Linked DNA regions of Rhinolophus ferrumequinum. The protein of the gene in region 2 interacts with the protein of the main gene of each other region in a pairwise test. Links are inferred from orthologs where the notes say so. Each region holds a gene or a part of one and is shown on either strand. Other genes may lie near its edges.

Region 1 (10,230 bases), on a different chromosome or scaffold from region 2:
TGCTTCAAAGGACACCACCAAGAAAGGAAAAAGAACACCCACAGAACAGGAGAAAATATTTACAATTCCTATATCTGATGAAGGAATTGTATCCAGACATATTTTTTAAAAACTCTTACACGTCAGCAATTGTCATGCGGGGTGTCGTGCAGGGTCTCTGGTCCCGCTCCCCACATAAGGACGCAGGACATGGTGAGGCCAAAAAGGAACACCCACGGAGCCATAGACAGGGGAGTCAGACCACTATAGTCTCGCTGCAGCCTGGTGGGCAACACACGAAGTAGGATCCACACCATCCACAATCCACCGTCTGCTTCTCTGCCTGCCAACCAACCATCACAGCCACGGAAGTTGTATCAGCGGCAAGTGGCTCACTGGTTACAGCTGATGGCCAACCAGTCACAGCTGATGGCCATCCATTACCCGAGTCAGCACCTTTCCACGTGAGGCCGAGAGCCTGGAAACTGCTCTCTGGGACTCTGTCCCCACAGCAATAAAAAGACAGCCAATTGGAAAATATGCATATGAAGTGAATTGATGTTTCTCCAAAGAATATAAACAAATGGTCAATAAGCACATGAAAAGATGTTCTATATCATTATCATTAGCATAATGCAAATGAAAAACAGAGAGAGAGAGCACATCATACACACTCGGAGAGCTATAATCAAAAAGACAACAAATAGCACTTGAGATCTTGCTCCCCAATATATGTCATCAATTCAGCTTAAATAAACTCTTATAACAATTCAAAAAAAAAAAAGCAACAAATGTCGGAGATGGGGTGGAGAAACTGGAATCTTTACACACTGCTGGAGGGAATGTAAAATGGTACAGGTACTGTGGAAAACAGTCTGGCAGTTCCTCAAAAGGTTAAATATAGAGTTCCCATTCAACCCAACTATTCCTTTCCTAAGTATATAACCAAGAAAAATGAAAACATAAGTCTACACAAAAACTTGCATGTTCATAACAACATTATTCATAAGAGGCAAAAAGTACAAACAAGCCAGTTGCCCATCAACCGGTAAGTAGATGAATAAAATATGGTATAATCCATACAATGGAAGAGTTCAGTCGTAAAATGTAATGAAGTACTGATCCAATGAATGAACTTTGAAAGCATACGTAGTGTATGATTCCATGTTATAAATGTCCAGACTAGGCAAATCCATAGAGACAGAAAACAGATTAGTTTGTCCAGGGCTGGGATAGTTGGGGCGGTGTGACTGCTAATGAGTTTGTTTTGGGGTGAATAATATTCTAAATTTGATTGTAGTGATGGTTGCATAACTCTATACTAATTATACTAAAACCCACTGAATTGCACGCTTTAAATGGTGAATTTTATGGTATGTGAATGATGTCTCAATACAGCTGTTTTTAAAAGTCAGAAAAATCCCCCCACCCACTCGATTCTAGTCTTCCCTAGGAGGTGACTATAGTTAACAGTCTATTGTGGCTGTTTCCAACTCTTTCTCAAACACCTCACATGCATGAGAACATAACCGCTTAACTAAGGGATAACCATTTTCTTTGCTGAAGTAACCTTCTTTTACTGAAGCTGACACAGATTTGTGGGCTAAACCTGCCAGGGTGGAGTACATGCATTTCAAATGCCTCAGACGTTCCCAAACAAACGTATTGCCCTACACGGGGCTGCATAGCATTGACTTGTCTTGTTTTTTTTTTTTTACAAAATTCCCAGAAAAGAAAATGGTGTCTTAGCCTATGTTGTATTTCTTTTATTATTCCTGAGGTAGAGAACTGTATCGCTTGATTATTTGCCAGTGTCTGAGAATTGCCGTCTTGTTTTCCTCGTGGGTTGTTTGTCCTTCTTTGATGGTTTGGACACATTCTCTTTGTGAGGGGTAGTTACCCTCGGTTGCAGATTCTGCAAGCCTTTTTTCCCAGTCTGCTATGTTTTGATATTATGTATAACCAAAGGTTTCTGAGGTATCCCACAGTTCCCAGGATGTCCCAGGAATGGAAATAAGGACACAGAAGAAGGAGGTGGGGCTGGGAGAGCTGGGCAGATGGGGAAAGGGGAGCCCGCTGTCTGGGGAGATGGCCAGCTATGGTAACAGGGCCCTCCCCACAGGGGTACCAGGAATCTGTGGGTGCCCAGACATAAGGACCAGGACTCTGGCTCCCACTTCCCTGGGCCATGCTGCTACCCCATCCGATAGTCCCATGGCCCTTGAACCTGAAGGAGCAGGTGTAGTGTCCAGAGGCTCTGGGGGTGGCTGTCTCTGGGCTGGGGGAAGGCATAGACTTAGAGGAACCCACCACTCCCCAATTACCCCCTCAGTGTCCTCTTCCTGCTAGCAAGCTTCATAAGAGCATTTACTGTTTATTTTCAGGCTATGGTTAATATCTTTTCATTGTATCATGCATGCACTGTAATCCATAAAAGGTGACGGGAGGTGACGTGTGGGATCCTGGCCCACAGAGGTCCCGGATACATCCCTCCCCAGGCTGCCTTCAGAGGACTCGGGTGCAAGAATGTCCCGGGTTAGACTGGAGCGAGCAGAGGTCTGAATCCCACCCTCACCAGTAGCAGTGAGGGTCCACGTTTGTCAATCTCATTGCGCTGAAACGGACGTCAGAGCTTTTTGTCACTCCCTGGCCAATCCAGCCTGGTGCCGGCAGCCAGAGGGACCAGGGTAGGCAGGCCATGCTTTGCACCTCCAGTTCCCACCAGTAACAGGAGTGGGAGAAGGTGGTCTCTAAGTGCAGTGCTGTGTCCTGGACAGGGATGTGAACAGAGTCAAGCTTGCTCACTTCACGGTCTTCCCTGAAAACAGCCCCCACCTCTACGTCCTCATTCTACATTTAAATAACTCTTGTGCAACCTACTTTTCAGAAGGTAAGAGGATTCTTAAGATCCGAAACTCCTGACCCTTCCTCCCATCCTGGGTCCCCCCCAGGCAGGGCCAGGAGGCCACTTGGATGGCCAGGTCTTATCTGTCCTGCCACTCAGTCGGGGCCCGATAGAGCCACCCTGTCTGTCAGGGGGCTGGGGGGACTCAAAGACCCTATCTGGGACCCACCTCCACACCTCCACCTTCTCTGGTGCAGTGTTTCCGCCCAAGAGGAATAACTCACCCACAATAGAAACTACGATAATCTTGAACTCATGCTGCCATTATGCCTGTTAATAGTGGGGTGGAGGCTGTTTAACTCCCACCCGAGAGGTTGAAACAGTGAAACTGGGGCTCACGATGGTGATTAGCCTGCCTGGGGTCACCCAGGGGCTGCTCTCAGGGGAGGGTCTGCAGAACCCTATCTGCACTGAGTGACGCAGGGCCCCCCAGCTCAGCTTTTGCTACACAAGTTCAGAACAAGCCTGGGGCTTCAAATTCTTCCCAGAGACCAGCGGGTCTCAGTGTCCAGAAGCACAGGCTTGGTGTCCTCATGTCACAGGGAACCAAGGCCCAGCGACAGAAGAGATTGCGCGACCCCCAAAGAGCCAGCAGCCTGGCTTGTACCAAACCTAGATCTCCCGTTCCCCTGAGAATGGTTCCCACCTCCACTGAAATATCAAACATACAGAGGGTGCCAAACACATATATACACATTTGAAGAAAGGAAAAAACTATTAAAACTGCAATACTCAATATATAACGATAACAGATGAATAGCAGTCATGCGTATACATTTTTGGGGCACCTCCAGTATTTCATTAACCTTCCTGAGCCTCCATTTCCATATCTTAAAACATGTAATGACAATGACATAAAAAAATCTCTCCCAGAGAGCTATGAGAGTCAAACGCCCAACATGAAGAGTATTTGGTACTGTGCCTGGGGCTTAGAAGGCACTAGATAAATGTCAGCTAAAACCAGACGGCGGGCCTCACCTCACAACCACCAAAAATCAGTCCACAGGGGGCTGTTGCCCCACTCAAAACACCAAAGTCAAGTTCTTAGAACGATAATACAGACAGTTCTCTACGCCTCAGCATGTGGCACAATGCTTATTTCACTTTTTAAAAACTTGAGGTAAAATTTGCATGACACAAAATGAACCATTTTTTTCTCTTCTTAAGTACTTAATTATTATTTTTTAAATTAGTTTCAGGTGTACAGAAGAACATAGTGATCAGACATTTACACAACTCACAAAGTGATATCTCCAATAAATCTAGTACCCACCCGACACTGTACATAGTTATTAGAACATTTTCGACTATATTCCCCATGTGGCACTACTCATCCTCGTGACTATTTTTTTTTTTACTATAGTTGACATTCAGTATTATTTTATATTAGTTTCAGGTGTACCGCTTAGTTACATTTGTTACCGGTTAGACATTTGTATAATTTATGAAGTGATCCCCAAAATACGAAACGCTTCACGAATTTGTATGTCATCCTTTTTCAGGGGCCATGATAATCTTCTCTGTATCGTTCCAATTTTAGTATACGTGCTGCCGAAGCGAGCACCAAAATTAACCATTTGAAAGGGAACAATTTAGTAGCATTTTGTGTGTTCACAAGATGGTACAGCCATCATCACTATCTAGTTTCCAGAATATTTTCATCATCCCAAAAGGAAATCTAGTATCCATTATGCAGTAGCTGGCTCATCCCCTGGTACTCATTCATCCACTTTCTGTCTCTATGGATTCACCTATTCTGGACATTTCATATAAAGGGACTCATACAACAGGTGGTATTTTGTGTCTGGCTTTGTTGACATAGTATAACGTTTGCAAGTTTCATCCATGTTGCAGTGTGTAACTGCTTCATTTTCATGGCTAAAGAATATCTCGTTGTATGGATACACACCACATTTTGTTTACCCATTCATCCACTGATGGACATTTGGGTTGTTTCCACCTTCTGGTGATTGTGAATAGAACAATGCAACATTGTTAAACAGGACAAAAAAAAATCACTAACTTTTACTGCACTAAAATTATAAATGTCTGGGCAGCCGGTTGGCACAGTGGTTAGAGCGTGGTGCTCATAACACCAAGGCCGCTGGTTCGATTCCCACATGGGCCAGTGAGCTGCGCCCTCTACAACTAGATCGAAAACAATAACTTGACTTGGAGCTGATGGGTCCTGAAAAAACACACTGTTGCCCAATATTCCCCAATTTAAAAAAAAAAATTAATTATAAATGTCTGTTCAACCAAAAACATCATTAAAAGAATGGAGGCAAACTACACACTTGGGGGCAATATGACACGTCAAACTGACAAAGAAGTTATATCCCGAGTGAAATGCAAAAGGGTGGCAGGTGGGAACTTTTGGGGGTGAGGGAGCTACTGCGTATCCTGATTTTAGTGGAGGTTACATGACTCTATACACATATCAAAATTCACAGAGAAGTACACTCAAAGAAAGTCAATTTCATTGCATGTTAAAATAAAATTAAAAGGAATATTTCCCTCATTATGTTAAAATGATGATATGGTGAGCAATATTGCAATCCCTAATAGCACGTGATATTAGAATTCTTTTATTGACCTAGCTTCTCAGGGGACAGATCCAGTTAGTACATCTGTGCTCAGCACCAGGTGGGCAAAACATTTGTTTTCTCAGAGGAAACCCAGGAATCATAGAGCCATTGGGGGGGGGGGGAGCCCTGACATGTGGCCAGTGCGGGCTAGCCACGGGATCCCACCAAAGGGGGAAGAGCGGTGCAGGCAGCTCGGGGCATGTTCCAGCCCGGGGAGCGTGCGTCTTGGGCCCTGCTCTTCTGGCTTCCCTCATTCTGTGATTCTGAAATGGACAAAGATGGTGTAGGGCTGACCTCCTGGGCTGGCTGGGCCCCTATCTCTGTAGGATTCTGGTCAGGCTGCAGCCAACGCCCTGTCTAAGGCCTAACAAGGGTGGCAGGAGTGATAGCCCCTCACCCCACCTGTCCCTGCAGGCTCTGACTGCCCCCAGTCCCTGGATCTGATAAGAGACCCCACCCTCCACAGCCCCCTACCCTCTCCTGACCAATGCCCACCACGGATGACACCGAGGCTCCATGCATATAAGGGGACGCGGGAGCTAGCTGAGCACCACCGAGGCCAGTCCCGGGCTCACCCCGCTCCAGCTCGACCTCCACCATGTCTCTGACCAAGGCTGAAAGGACCATCATCACATCCATGTGGAACAAGATCTCCACACAGGCGGACGCCATCGGCACCGAGGCCCTGGAGAGGTGAGTGCCACATGGGATGGGACGGTGCCAGGTAGTTACAGTGTGAGGGTGTTGCGGACAGGGGACAGTGAGCCGGGGAAGATGAATTGTGCAGACTTCTGACTGACCCTGGGTTCACTGAGGTGTGAGCAGGCCAGGCCCAGGTTCCCACCTGAAGGCCCCGGACAGTTTCTTCCGAGGCCTAAAGCGCCTTCTGAGGCAGTTAGGTTGCTAGCAGCACAGATACCAGGGTCTCTGACTCTGGGGAAACCACAGTGGAAAGAGGTTTTCCCTGAAGAGACCTCCCTGGGATGCTGCTAGGGAGGGCATTATTTCTGGCGGAAGGTGGAGCTGGAAGCCTGGTCAAGGGCTGGTAAGGAGGCTCCTGTGGCGGAAGGAGGTGAAAGGGGCTAGAGGCCAAGGCTGGGGGGATTTGGAGAGCTGGTCGTGCTGACCCCGTTGGAAGCAAAGAGACAAGCCCGGAGTTTGCAGCGGCCTGGAATAGGGCCGGGTGGGGGGTGGTTGGGTGGTGGGAGTGACGTGGGGGGCCTCTAGATGCGCTTGGGTGTGAGGCACCAGGCTGAGAGCGAAGGGGGAGCTGCCCAGCGTGCAGGGCCGTTGGCGAGGTGGAATGTGGATCCTCGAGTTGGGAGCAGGGCGGGCTGGATGGTGGGGAGGTAGCCAGGCAGCCCTCCTCCGGAGCTCACGCCCCGCCCCCCGCCCGCAGGCTCTTTGCCAGCTACCCCCAGACCAAGACCTATTTCCCGCACTTCGACCTGAACCCCGGCTCCGCGCAGCTGCGCGCGCATGGCTCCAAGGTGGTGGCCGCCGTGGGCGACGCGGTCAAGAGCATCGATAACATCGCGGGCGCCCTGTCCAAGCTGAGCGAGCTGCACGCCTACATCCTGCGCGTGGACCCGGTCAACTTCAAGGTGGGAGAGAGGGAGGGGGTCCTGGCTGGGTCGGAATAGAGGCGGGGCCCGGGTGGTGCGAGAGGGGCTGTGTCTCACCTAGAGGGACTCCGCCCCCACCGAGACAGCACCCCAGCCCTGCGCGCTGAGCCGCCTCTCCCCCGCCCCCCAGCTCCTGTCCCACTGTCTGCTGGTCACGGTGGCCTTGCACTTCCCCGCCGAGTTCACGGCCGATGCCCACGCCGCTTGGGACAAGTTCCTGTCCGTCGTGTCCAACGTACTGACCGAGAAGTACCGCTGAGCTGTCACCGGACCCCGGAGGCCCGGCTTCGACCTCCCCTCTACCCTTAAATACTCTCACAGATCCTCCCGGTACTCCCCAATAAATGGATGAGGATGGAATGAGCTGAGTCCTGCGTCCTCAATATTGGGGGGAAGGAGGGAACAGAGGGAGGGATACAATAGAGGAGACCCCGGGGTCACACCAGGCCTGCAGGACACTCCCCGGGTGCTTTGGGGCGGTCCTTGCACCTGCGGACCTCAGAGTCGCAACCGGAAAAAGCAGAACAGCCTCAGTCACCCACGCCGTTTTCTCTGGGTGCGTTTGGGCCTCTCGAAATCGCCCAAAGACTGTCGCTTCACTCAGCGTGTTGGCTGCGTGTGGGGACTCAGGGGACTTTTCTTCAAAGCCTGAAGTCAGAGCTCCCGCGCTGCAAGGACACCTGATACAGTTTCCCTCCTGGCCCCTCGGGGGATAAGGGCGTTCCTTGGCCGGGCTCTTTCTCCCGGTCTTTACATCGGTTCCCTATTGGCGAGCGAAGCAGTAACTTTGCCCGCGGGGAAGTCATTACAGATTCTCCTAGAGTCCGCAGCAAAGGCACCCACGCCCAGCGGCGTGAGTCTGTGCCATTAACACCGGGATCCCTAAGGCGGTGGTCTCCGCGGCGGTGGGGACCTAGGCTGGCGACGTTTCCCCGTGCCGGCCGAGGGTCCCCGAGTTCCCGCCACGCTGCTGCAGATAAGAGCGGGCGGGGCGCCCGGCTGGGGGTGCCGCTATAAGGAGGCGGGGTCCGCGGGCGCGGCCCCCAGAGCACGCCACGCCAGCGCCATGCTCAATGCTCAGGAGCGCGCCCAGGTCGCGCAGGTCTGGGACCTGATCGCGGGACACGAGGCGCCCTTCGGGGCGGAGCTGCTGCTCAGGTGGGTCGGGCGGGGTCTCCAGCATCGCAGGGAGGCGAAGACGGGGGTATTGGGCCTGCGTCCCCAGGGGGCAGGCTAGACCCGGGTGTCCAGGGGTCAGGGCGATTGCAGGCGCTGGAGAGACCCCACGCGCCCGCCCTCCCACTGACCTGCTCCCGCAGGCTCTTCACCGTGTACCCCAGCACCAAGACCTACTTCAAGCACCTGGGCGTCTTCCCTGACGAGGTGCACCTACTGAGCCACGGAAAACGCCTGCTGGAGGCGGTGGGCGTGGCTGTGCTGCACATGGACAACCTGCGCTGGGCGCTGAGCCCGCTCGCAGACCTGCACGCGCACGTGCTCCGCGTGGACCCCTCCAACTTCCCAGTGAGGCAGCCCCGGCCCCTGGAGGGTTTGCGCGTGCAGCCGTGGGGAGGAGGGGCTTGTGGGTGGAGTTCCGGGAGGGACCGGAGAGAGCAGACACCCTTTCCCCCGCCCCTTCTCCCGCAGCTGCTGATCCAGTGTTTCCAGGTGGTGCTGGCCTCCCACCTGCAGGGCGAGTACACGGTGGAGATGCAAGCGGCCTGGGATAAGTTCCTGACCGGCGTGGCGGTGGTGCTGACGGAGAAGTACCGCTGAATCCCGTGCCCTCTGGCTTAGGTCTGTGCGAGTCAATAAAGAAGCCTTTTGAGGCGAGACCCGTGCGTGTGTGTGGTCATTGGGCCGAATCACTGTTGCTGGGCAGAGAGGCTCCGGGTCCCGCGGGGAGCTTCCCGGTTCGGAATCTTAGGGTGTGACCCCAAAACTTTGGTAACAGTGGAATGGCGGCCGGGAGCGGATCCTGAGAGCTCTCCAGACTTGTAATGTAGACGGTTCTCGGGGCTGACCATCCTGGGCCTGGAAGTGCGTGAACCCCCAAAGGCTAGAGCGGAATAGTTGCCCTCCGTGGCGGCTGGTATGTGGTGGGGCTGAGTGGGTGCTCAGATGGAGGGATCCTGTAAGACTTCAGCTTGCATGGGGCACCTGAGTGGTGCCATACCGTTGGCAAATCACAGCCGCATTTCATTCATTCATTCATTCATTCAGTCAGTCAGTCAGTCAGTTATCCCTTCGCCACTTCACACATCCTTTGCAGACAGACATGGGCACCCCGGCCCAGGGGCCAAGTTCCTGGTCTGGAGTCAAACAAGAGTTTGGGGTCCAGAGCTCCTCGGACCCTCAGCTCTGTTGGTTTCCCACATTCACTACCGCCGCTCAGTCTACAGCAAACCCTGCCTTGGGTCAACTTAGCCCCTTCTTCTGAATCTCCTGGGGTGGGGGATGGGGGTACAGAGGAATTCCTAGGTGGCCAGAGAGCAGGTTTTCCAACCTGGTTCGCATCAACAAACTAACTCATGGACGGGGGTGGGGGAAGTGGGGGGTGGAGGGGGTGGTACCAACCTTGCTAGGCTTTGAAATAATTTATGAGATAATAACTCGGGGTGGGTGCCTGGCAGGACCCTGGCGGCCCAACCTCCACCCTACCCCTCAGCCCAGCCGCTATGTCTTTCTTAGTCTCTGCGGGTTTTCCAGCCGAGGCCTTCTTCCCCCAGTGCTCCACTCCCAGCCTCTTGCCACCGTGGGTTGGGGCAGGAATCTTAACGGTTCCACCCAGAGTCTTTGAGACAATGGACCAGAAACCGGGAGCAGATGGACCCCGGTGCTCTGGCCAGACTCTGAATGAGGGCAATTCCACAGTTGGGGGGGAATTTGGGGGGAGCACGGAGTCGGGCAGGGCGGTGGGCGCCCAAGTCTGAGGGGGATGCTGGAAGCTAGCCATGACCGAGGCTTGGCAGAGCTCCCCAAGTGCTGCCTGGGAGGCCTGCCCACCCGTGGGGGTAGGAGGTGTGGAGAATTTATCCCATATTATCTTTCACCCTCATTGTTTGCATGCACAATTGACAGCTTTTGGTCCTTGGCTAAGTCTGGTGCGAAAACACCGTGTTTCACTTCGGAA
Region 2 (10,941 bases):
CCAATCCTAGATGGACTGCCAAGCTTTTCACCAAAATTTGAAAGTAGCACCTAGACTTTCTAAAAATAAATATTTCCACTGTTGAGATATTTGGCAATATTTCGCTTCATCATATGATGATGCAAACAAAACAATGATGAATCTACCAAAATTTGTGAAGAATTCAGGTTACCAAGTCTTGCCAATCAGAGCACCTGGAATACTCTCAATTGGACAAAAATTTATTAATCCTCCTAAAGGTATGGAATCACCATATTTGAATCTATAAATTTGAACAGATCTATGTCTGTCAGCGGACAGGCATGCTTGACAGCAAACAATAATATTTCCATATATATATATATATACATTTGTAGCCCCAAATTATTATGAAGATAATAGTTCTATCGATTTAAGAACATAAATCTGTCCTCAGTACCCAAAATAATGTATATGCATCAAATTACATTATAGTACAATATATGTATTATTAATCATTAAACTAAGAAAGAATAAAAAAAGTTTCAGCCATTGATTTTGGTCTTCTGAATACACAAATACAACTCCTTTGCATCAGCATTAGTCCCAGACTTAATTAGAATTATGGAGAAACATATAGATCATCTAGTCCAACTCCTTAACTTGTGAGACAAGGAATCTAGGTCCATGGAAGGAAAGCTTATCAAGATTCACATGGGGCAAAAGTGGAATTAAAATCCAGGTATCTGGATTCACAGTTTAGTGCACTTACCAGAAGTAGCATAGATATAAATAACCTTATCTAATTTCATCTGGCAAGCAAATTCAGAGGCTGAGTGGAACTTGAAAGATAATGCTGAGTTTGCTGTTTCATCATATGTAAAAACACCTTCCATAACAAATGGATAATTAAATATGATAATCATAGAAGGAAAATTATTTAATTTAATCAAACATATTATAAACACTCTTCAACCATACTATTCAAGATCTTTTCTAAATAGCAATCGAATTCATAAAATGTTTGGGCTCTTTCATTAGCTTTCTCAGAATCATTCCTACTGAAAACACACAGCAGCAACAACTGAAATAAAACAAACCACACACACACACACACACAAATAGCAAAATTACCAACAAAATAGTTCTTTTAAACATGGCCTCCAATTCTAAACATAATAGTAACAATAGAGCACTAATTTGCATCTATCATCAATCACAAAAGCAAAACAAATCATTGTGAAAGCTTATTGGTTTATATCACTGCATATATATATATATATATATATATATATGCAAATATATATAGTGTGCCAAATACACACACAAATATATAGGGTGCCAAAAAAATGTATACACATTTTAAGAAAGGAAAAAACTGTATTAAAAGTATAATACTTAATATATACCGATAATAAAAGATGAATACAAGTCATGTGTATACATTTTTTGGCACTCCGGTATATATATAAGCTTCCGGAAAAATCATTCCGAAGAACTGAATCATCTGGATCATTTTTATTACTCACTCAGTCTTGAGACTGTCTGCACAGTACTGACTGAAATGTACTTCAGTGTGCACCTTCCTTCCAAATGAATATCTATGTCAGGTTTATTTATAGCCACTGCCTTCAATCAGTGCATTTCCAGGTATGAGAAGGAAAATCATCTCAACAATACTCTCTCATACAGATGTGAACCAAAACCTGGAAATCTTAACAAATGGCCTTTGAAAAGGTAATGAAAGATCTATAATGTAAAATGTACATTAAGATTTATTAAAGAGTCCAAAGGATACTCACCTTACCCTCCTTAATAAGCACACATAAAAAGCCTCAGGTAATGAGAGAACGAATTTAAACTTTATGCATCTGTTTGCGTCTCTTTATACCCTTCAAGATTTTTATCATCACCTCCTCCATTCTCTTATCCTCATTATGATTTCTCTGAAATTTAGACACCTCTCTTTGTTTCTTACTTAGATTATTTTCTCTCTATTTATGAGCTTTTCCTCCTAAGGCTTTACAAAAGTAGGACATGCTTCCCCCTACTGGGAAAAAATTAAATTACAAGGTACATCTGAACATGTTCTTAAGTATCAAGAAATCAAGTTCCTAGGAAAGATAAAATGCTTAAAGAACCAGGTGCACAGCCTTCTCTGACTGTTTCACCAGTCGCAGAAATACTTTGCACTCCATTAAGACTTTCTCACATTCATTTCTTTAGCTTGGCCGTTTTAAAAAATACACTCTCATTAGTGAAAGATGAATTAATCACTGAGCCTGCTGCCCCAAAGAGAACTCCAATGAGCAGGTTACAGAAAATCATCAATTTGTAGTATACTGTTTTCATTTTAAAGATATTAATAGCTAAATGAAGATACTTCTGGAAAATATATTGAACTAAGCAATTTGAGAAGGCCTACTTGCATTTTTAATCGTTTTGAACAATCCTAAGCATTTATTAACTCATTAATTTTCCTATGTATTGATGTAATTATCTAATTTTTTAATAGAGGGAGAGTTTAATTTTTTAATTGACTTCACTTTTCTACTTTATTTGCTTTAATTCAGTAACCAAAAAAGTAGTAAGCATAATTACATTTTATCTTCCCAAATACTCTACAAAACCAACTTGTTTCTTGAAAAATAGTTTACTTGTTTCACACATTCAATATTTTGTTTATAAATTCTTTAATTGTTTACTATGAAAAAAGGAAAAACACCTACACATTATTATTGTTATAAATAATAATCTATCAATATAATCTTGAAATAGACAGAATGCCTATTTGAATCATACATGGAGGGTCAGAATTTTTCCTTCCATGTACAACTACATAAGTCTCAAAAAAGAAAACATTTATTTTAATGCTGAAGGGCTGAGGAAGAGGAAGTTGGTCACTTTTAGTTTTGCTATAGGTTAAGCCCATAGCAACCTAAGCTACAAAACTGCATTGTAGTCAAATTGATGATGAAACGATTCATTAATAATGAAGGATTAATAAAAAAAAAAAGCCTGGAGTTTTTTTTTTTTTAAGGTATGTGTATGTTAGTTACTACAGATATCATGAAAATCTTTAGCAGTCCGAAGGCGATATTTCAAGATAAATGATGCGATTTGGCTAATGTTTCTGTCATACAGAAGTTTGTGTGTGTGTGTGTGTGTGTGTGTGTGTATGTGTGTGTGTGTGTTTAAACAACCTTTCAAAGCCATGCAAAAAAACAAGACATATGTTTCTCTGGGGATGAAATCTCCATTAACACTACAGGTACACAAAAGAAAATGCACACTTGGTAAAACAGTTGATCAATTGTGGAGTGTTCCCAGGGACCAGCAACTCGCAGAGTAACCCAATCATCGCACTTCAAATAAATTGATAAGCACTTTAGCCTCTGCCACATTCACAAACATAGACGAACATGAATAGTTTAATTCTAAGCCTTTCCATAGGAAAGACTGTAATTAGACTAAAGGGTAACAGAATCACTTCCCAAATGCAGAAAAAAAAATGCTGATGTGTAACTAAGAAGCTCTTAGAATACTACATTGGTGATCATTTACTTCTAAACTGATTACCCTTTCCTCTGCGAAGTGAAAATATCCCTGTGAACCGCGTTACACTTTATGGTGTCTCTATCAATGATTCTAAAAGGTCACATCACCACTGTCATTAGATCTCCTAGCTTTGATCTTTCCCCAAATTAAAAGGAGCATTGTTGCCCGCCCCAAGAATAGGTTCTGTCCTCCCGAGCTCCGATGCTCAGTCCGCGAGCATCTTCAGGGGCACAGTTTCTGCGAAGGAGACAGTCGTCCCTCCCCAACTTCACTCCCCTTAACCAAGCCGCGGGTGCTATGGGCGGCCGGCGGTTTGTGCACATCTATAGAGGCAAGTCCTACCTTCCGCCAAAAGGCGTGATGCATGCACAAAAGATGGATCCAGGCTATCTTTCTCTGCCATCAGCTCAGGCAAATATTTCTCCTCTTCCATAGCGCGGACTTCGGACAGTCCCCGGGCGAAGCGCAAGGTTCCGCTCGCTCAGACGCAGGGTCGCCGGGCAGCGCCTGGCTCCCGCGCTGCTCTGCCTCTGCCGGGGAGAGGGGATCTCCGCGCGTCCTCACTGGCCCATGCACAGAGCACCTGCAACTCCAGCCGTCGGGCTGCACGGCCCAGCGCCCACACCTGCCCGTCCCTACCGTCGTCCCTGGATCGCGCAGTCCCGGCTCACACAAGCGGCCTTAACTGGAGAGGCGGGAACAGGACGCGTCCCACCTCTGCCAACCACTCATTGGTGGTGGTGCTATGAGAGGCGGGGCCCCCGCGAAGGCCGAGGGCTCTCATTGGGCAGAGCCGCACGTCGGATCGCCTGACTGGCAGGAGGCAGCTGTAGATGGGAGGGGGGCGCAGAAGGTGCAAACGCTTTCTTCTTGCAGACCAAGCCTTCGCTGGTTATTAGGCATGCCCAGTTGTGTGGAGCCCTCTGTGTCTTCAGCAGAGGTGCAGAGGGGGTAGAGAGCGGGAAAAGCACCCGTTAAGCAGAGAAGCTCGGGTCCAAGACGTCAGGGGAAATGGGGATGAGGAGTGCAAGGCTGAGGGGAGGGAAAGCACCAGGGAAAGTCTCAGGAAGGTAGATAGGACTTCACCTGAGTCCCTAAGGCACAGGTGTCTCCTCTCCCTCATGCGGCTCAGACGCACTCCACTGTGCAGGAATCGGCAGCGCACCCAGTCTGGAAACATAATGAAGACTGCGTTTGATCGGCGGCTTGTGTTTTCTAAGAGCCTGACCTACATCTCGGGGACGCTGTAGGATGTTCATTGATAAACAAATAAAGCGGGTCTGGGGCGATATTGTTGTAGCAATACGCTTCCAGCGTACGATCACTGGGGTATTGACTTGATTCTGGTTTTTCTCCCATCCATCCCTCCTCTCCAATCCATCCCTATCTATGGGAGGGGTTCCGGGAGAGGGCTGAATTCTACAACTGAAAAGCAACACAATTAGCCACAATTAGTGAAGGAATTAGGGAGACATGTGGTAAAAGGAAGAGACTAGTTAAACAGGTAACCCCAGTTGCTCAAATTTCCCCCTTTCTCCGTATTTTAGATGTGATAGCCTTTCACCAAGTGCCGTTGCTGAGCTAGTTTGTATCTCTCTCACTTTTATTTAAGGAGAGTCAAATGCTGCAGGTATCAACACTCGAGGCAGTTCCCATCCTTCTCTTAACAATGGGATCTGATAATGCAGCTTGCATGCTTCAATGTTACAAAACTATTGTCTCTTTTCATAAACAATCATTTTATTCAATTCGCCTCTCCCCCCACCATTTTGGTGTGAAAGAATGGGGGCTAACTTTCCTACAAAAAAGCATGCTGAAACTTTTCCAAGTTCTTAATGTAGTCAAATCTTTTCCTTATTTATTTTTCAGGATAAGGTTGGGAGATTATTTTTTACTTATGTTTTACATTTTTTATGTGACTTCACATCCATGATCTCAATTTGTCCTCAAAAAAGCACTCTGTGAAACATGGTTCAAGTATTACTTTCTGTTTTATAAATGTGGCAACTAAGGCACAGACAGACAAGTCAGTAATCCAGAAGTAACAAACATGACTTCTTTCGGCACCAGAAATTGTTCATCCTACCTGGAAGCTGAGTGTATGCTACCACAGGGCCAATGATGAGGGAGTACATGGCTAACAAATATGATCGGGTGGTTAAAAGTTCATGAAATAAACTGTGAGAACTATGACTAATTGATAATTTTATTTTTTGACAGTAGAAATGCTGCCAATCTTCAGAGAGGTGGCCAGAAGCTACTGTAGTGGAGGGTGGGTAAGATGCCAAACACAACTAATAAATTGTAAACACTTTGGAATGAGTATAAATTAGAAAATTTATTGTGCAGTAATTGTAATCACATTTTGCTTTGCATCATACCAAAAGATTAAAAGCATGTAGTGCTTATGGGGCCATGCACAAACCCAGTTTCATGAATCAAAAACATGCAGTAATTCTTGTTACGTCCGGCAACAGCAATTACATTATCTATTCATAGTCCTCTTTTCCATGATTAAAGGTGCAGAAAGAAGATACCATGGAAAGTAGTCCAAGGGTTGACTTTATTATACAATGTCTGTAGATATTCATGTCATTATAAATATGGTAAACTAGCTAGCTAACTTTTATATTCCTAATTATTACCAAAAAATATTTATAATTTTATTTTCTCAGGTAAACTCTCAGCAAACATCTAAATTTCACTTTAAAAGGGGAAATGCATTTCCAAACAGAATATGACTGAATAAAGGTGCCCTACACATACATTTATCCTACATCAGATCCCTATATTTTCAATAGCTGACTCTATCTCACCATATGTTCTCTGCTCGTTTCACATATGAATATTTTACAGTTACCACAATTACACAGTGGATATCCTCAGCACAACTTTATTAATACAAACATTTTATAAACATAAATGTAAATAAATTGAGAGCCTTCTATAGATAATTGTTGAATAGATAGTATCATATGTCTAAACATGAATAAATTATAACTACTGGTAAGCCCACCTCTTTTTCTAATGGTGTAAATAACTTAACCATATTGACCACTGAATTGATTTGTATATCTTAGGTAAAGATTTATCTCATTTTAAACATGAGTTCTAGTCCTGAAAGGTGTTTTTTTTTTGTTTTTGTTTTTGTTTTTTAATGGTATTCCATTTACTGCACTATTATTTCAACAATGGGATATTATGGAACATTTTGCTCCAACCAAACTTGGTTCTGAAGGGTCAACAAGGCATGCATTATAGACTATGTCCTATAATTAATGCACAAACTTTGTATTCAATGCTTTTACAAACCTTTATAAGAAAGGCCAGGATAAAGGGCATTTAATCAGGCTTATCATTGCACACTAACAAAAAAAAATACCCAACCTATAATATTACATAAAACACACAGTTTTTATTTCAGAGTTCTCATCAACTTTAGGGATATGTCACTAGTCTGACTACTTACTCCAAGAATTCATTAGAAGCCACTCAAATAAGAACCAAGGGTTAATAAAATTGTAACAGCCAGATCATTTACACTAAGCTTTCTAATATCCTGGTGCCTGGGACAGAGTATAATGAAGGACTAAAATATTGAATGACTCATTTTCATCTACTAAAGAGTCTGACAGAGTCCATTACATAGGTGTTTTTTAATGTTTCGATTTATTTTAGTTTCACTAACTGAACAAGTGAAATTGCTCCAGCTTCTTTTATAACTTTTATGATATATTTTAGGGTTGCAAGTAGAAAAGAAGAGAATTAGGACTTGGCTGTGCCAACAACCAATAGCAACAGTAGCACATGCAGTGAGAAATCTCTCATAGGTAATGAGTTCAGAGCCAAAATTTATGCTATATGCTAATACGCTACAGCACAAAATGAATATTCACTACTCAAAGCTGGTATTTATACACACACACATATATATGTATAGAACTTTTTTCATATATACATATGAAAGTTTTCTGATTGGAAAAGTTTTTTTAATTATCATATTGAATTTTAACAGACACAAATGTATAATTCAAGGAGAGCAGAAGAGAGAGAAAGGACTGATATTGGTTGAAAGCCTACTAGTATTTTGTTTGGAATATTGCTATTCTGAATCTTCACAAATATAAGACAGGAAGGCCAAGAAAAAAGCTGTTCCTATTCTAAAGTGGCCTAACAACTCAAATAAACCATTTCTGATGTGGAAATTATCTCTGTTTGGAAAACTGACAAAGTTCATCTTGTTATACATCTCTATGGACAATCACTGCACTAACACATTTTGGTTGACGTTGATAGCCGCTGAGGAACAGTTACTGCATTACAGAAAAGGCGAATGAAGTGATTGTTTCAAGGTGAAAGTTATTGACTGTCTTCTTCAAATTAAATCCTTGAATTGTTGAATTGTAGCTCACATATTGATTATTACTGGAGATCAATATATTAAGGTGAAAAATCACATCAGTAAAATATAATGTTTTCATGCACAGCAAATGAAGACCTGAGCTCTGTTGTATTCAGTATAAAATAAATAGATGAAGGCTAAGGAATGATGTAATAAAAACAATCTTCAAGGACACGAAAACTTTTGCCACAGAGGCAGATGTATAAGCAGTCGTTTTATATCATGACTAAAACAAGGGAAGAAAGAGTGGATTGAATTTCAGTTGTATTAGTTTTTAAACATTCATGGAAAGAACCGTTAATATTGGAATAGTGTTTTAAGAGACCACCATCACATAAAAGGCTTTAAAATACTGCAGATACTTGCTATAATTTTTTTTATTATTCTGATCTTTCACATTAAATGATATTGCCGTGCAGGAAACAATCACTGTGAAATCCTACTGTATAAAACAGTTATTACAAAGTAAGTACAAGCCATTTGAAGAGAATGGTAATGAAATTAGAAAACACAGTTCCAGAGACAAGATTTTATCAGCCCAACAGTGAAGAGAGAACAAAATAAAAAAATCAGAGATATAGACATTTTGTAAGATATTGGGTGATAGATTACCACGACCAACCAGGAAAGAGCTAATAAATACCATGAATATTATCTCAATACATGAAAACTGAACATAAAGTATAATCCTAGATTAAATCCTGGGCCAGATTTTGTTTTTATTTTATTTGTTTCTACATACTATAAAGGACAGTAATGGGATAATTGGAAAAATGTGATAAGGTCTATAGTTTTAGTTCACTGATTTTGCTAACTGTATTGTGATTATATAAATGAGTGTCTATGTTTTTAAAAATACAAAATTAAGTATTTAAGGGGGAAAGGGATATCATGTCTGCAACTTACTCTCAAATAATTAAGAAAAAATATATTTATATACAGAGGAAGAGAAAGAAAGAGACATAGAAACAGAAAAAGATGATACAGCAAATATGGTGAAATATTAACATTTGTATAAATTAGATGAAGGGAGTTTTAGATTATCCTATCTTCTTTTCACACCTTTTCCATAAATCTATAACTGCTTTAAAATTTTTTTAAAACTTTAAAAAATCTAGATATTACCTAAAATAACCTCAAAATATTTTATCCAAACCTTGGTTTACTAGTTAGCGATGGAGAGCATAAGCCCATACTTTTATTATGAGACCTATATTATAGCATGCATTGAAATCACAAATTTGGCCACTAATTACCAAATATGTTCTTAATAACTTTAAAAATCTCACTGAAAAAGCAAATATATTACCTACTTATCTCTCTTTTTCCCTAAACAAACATATAATACAAATAATTATGTTGGTTTACTTATTTCCTTTAAAAATAAAATTTTCAGCAATTTACTACAGAATTAGCCATTTTTAGAGAATTTTTTTAAATGAACTATAGGAATAAAAAAATTTATTTTGAATAGATACTAGTATTAACTGTAGCTCTATTTTAATGGTATGGAAGGAAAATGAGAAGAAACTGTTTAGTGTTCATGCATCCTGTGTATAATTGTAGATTTTGACCATTTCATAACATCCCTGTATTTCTGTTTTTACCCTGTGTCTTCTAAGTACTTTTATCCAGTTTATTGGACACCGTAGACAAAGTGCATGCTTCTTTATATCATAATGTGTTCTGCATGCTCCTAAATGCATTTAGTTGCCTGGTTCAAAAACTAAGGGGAAAATGGAAGTAATGGAACATGGTGACAAACGTTGTATGGTACAAGTTGTGGCACATGTTTAGGAGCAGTACATGTTGCCATCTTACTATGGCAAAACTTTGGGAACAGTCACCCCCCCATCATAAAAACACTCAGAAAACTAGGAATAGAAAGAACTTTACGAATATGATAAAAGATAAAAGGTATGAAAAAACAAAAGCTAATATCATAATGAAGGGCGAAAGATTAAACACCCACTAAGATCAGGAAGAAGACAAGTCTGTTGGCTTTCACCACTTCTATTCAACTTAATATTGGAAGCTCTAGTCAGAGCAATTAGGCAAGAATAACAATAAAGGACATTCAAATTTGAAAGGAAGAAGTTAAATGTATATTTATTCATGGATACATGACCCCACATGTAGAAAATCCCAAATAATACATAGCAAACTACTATTAAATTGGTGCAAAGAGGAAAAACTGAGGGTTGCTAGATGGGCGGTGGGGGTGGGGGTAAGGGGGAAGGTGAGGGGATTATAAACAATCAGTAACGACAAGATAGTCATGGGGTTTTGAAAATTAATCTGGGGAACATAATTTAGTGGTTACCAGAGGGTAAGGGGGTTGGGGGGTGGGAGATGAGGGTAAGGGGGATCAAATATATGGTGATGGAAGGAGAACTGACTCTGGGTGGTGAACACACAATGTAATTTATAGATGATGTGATACAGAATTGTACACCTGAAATCTATGTAATTTTACTAACAATTGTCACCCCAATAAATTAAAAAAATAAAATAAAAAAAATTTAAAAAAAAGTAATTGCGATTTAAAATGTTAAAAATAATTGCAAAAACGGCAATGACTTTTGCATCAACCTAACAGAAGTAATAAAAAATTCAACAAATTTGCAATTTTAAGATCAGAACACAAGAAATGTTTTTATACACAAGAAATGAATAATCTCAAAAGGACGTTAAGAAAAACATTCCATTTTGTTAGCATACAAGAGAATAAAATACACAGGAATAAATTTAACCAAGAAGATGAAAGGCTTACACACTTAAAACTATGAAATATTACTGAAAAAAATTAAAGTGACTAAATACATTGAAGGACATCCAATATTTATTAATTGTAAGGCTTAATATTTTTAAGGCAATACTACCCAAAGCAAACTACAGAGTCAATGTCATCTCTGTTAATATTCTAACAGCACTGTTGCAGCAATGTAAGTTAATCCTCAAATTCATAGAGAAATGCAAAGGACTCCAAATATCCAAAACAACATTGAAAAAGAACAGAATTG

Evidence for each region.
Region 1: the proteins of KHDRBS2 (region 2) and HBZ interact in binary tests that used the Homo sapiens proteins (3 or more experiments, as listed by UniProt). The two-hybrid records come from large-scale screens. The link is inferred for Rhinolophus ferrumequinum from reciprocal best matches to the Homo sapiens genes KHDRBS2 and HBZ.

What each region holds. Positions count from the first base shown.
Region 1 is NW_022680357.1:2,217,611-2,227,840, forward strand, and holds HBZ (hemoglobin subunit zeta), read left to right. Parts: upstream 1-6,019; 5' UTR 6,020-6,070; coding exon 6,071-6,165; intron 6,166-6,231; exon of another isoform or gene 6,232-6,455; coding exon of another isoform or gene 6,456-6,517; intron 6,518-6,871; coding exon 6,872-7,076; intron 7,077-7,227; coding exon 7,228-7,356; 3' UTR 7,357-7,457; downstream 7,458-10,230. Other genes in the region: HBM (hemoglobin subunit mu), read left to right, coding at 8,164-8,255, 8,417-8,621, 8,745-8,873. UniProt on the Homo sapiens protein: The zeta chain is an alpha-type chain of mammalian embryonic hemoglobin.
Region 2 is NC_046286.1:26,296,317-26,307,257, forward strand, and holds the start of KHDRBS2 (KH domain-containing, RNA-binding, signal transduction-associated protein 2), read right to left. Parts: upstream 4,225-10,941; 5' UTR 3,950-4,224; coding exon 3,859-3,949; intron 1-3,858. UniProt on the Homo sapiens protein: RNA-binding protein that plays a role in the regulation of alternative splicing and influences mRNA splice site selection and exon inclusion. Binds both poly(A) and poly(U) homopolymers. Phosphorylation by PTK6 inhibits its RNA-binding ability.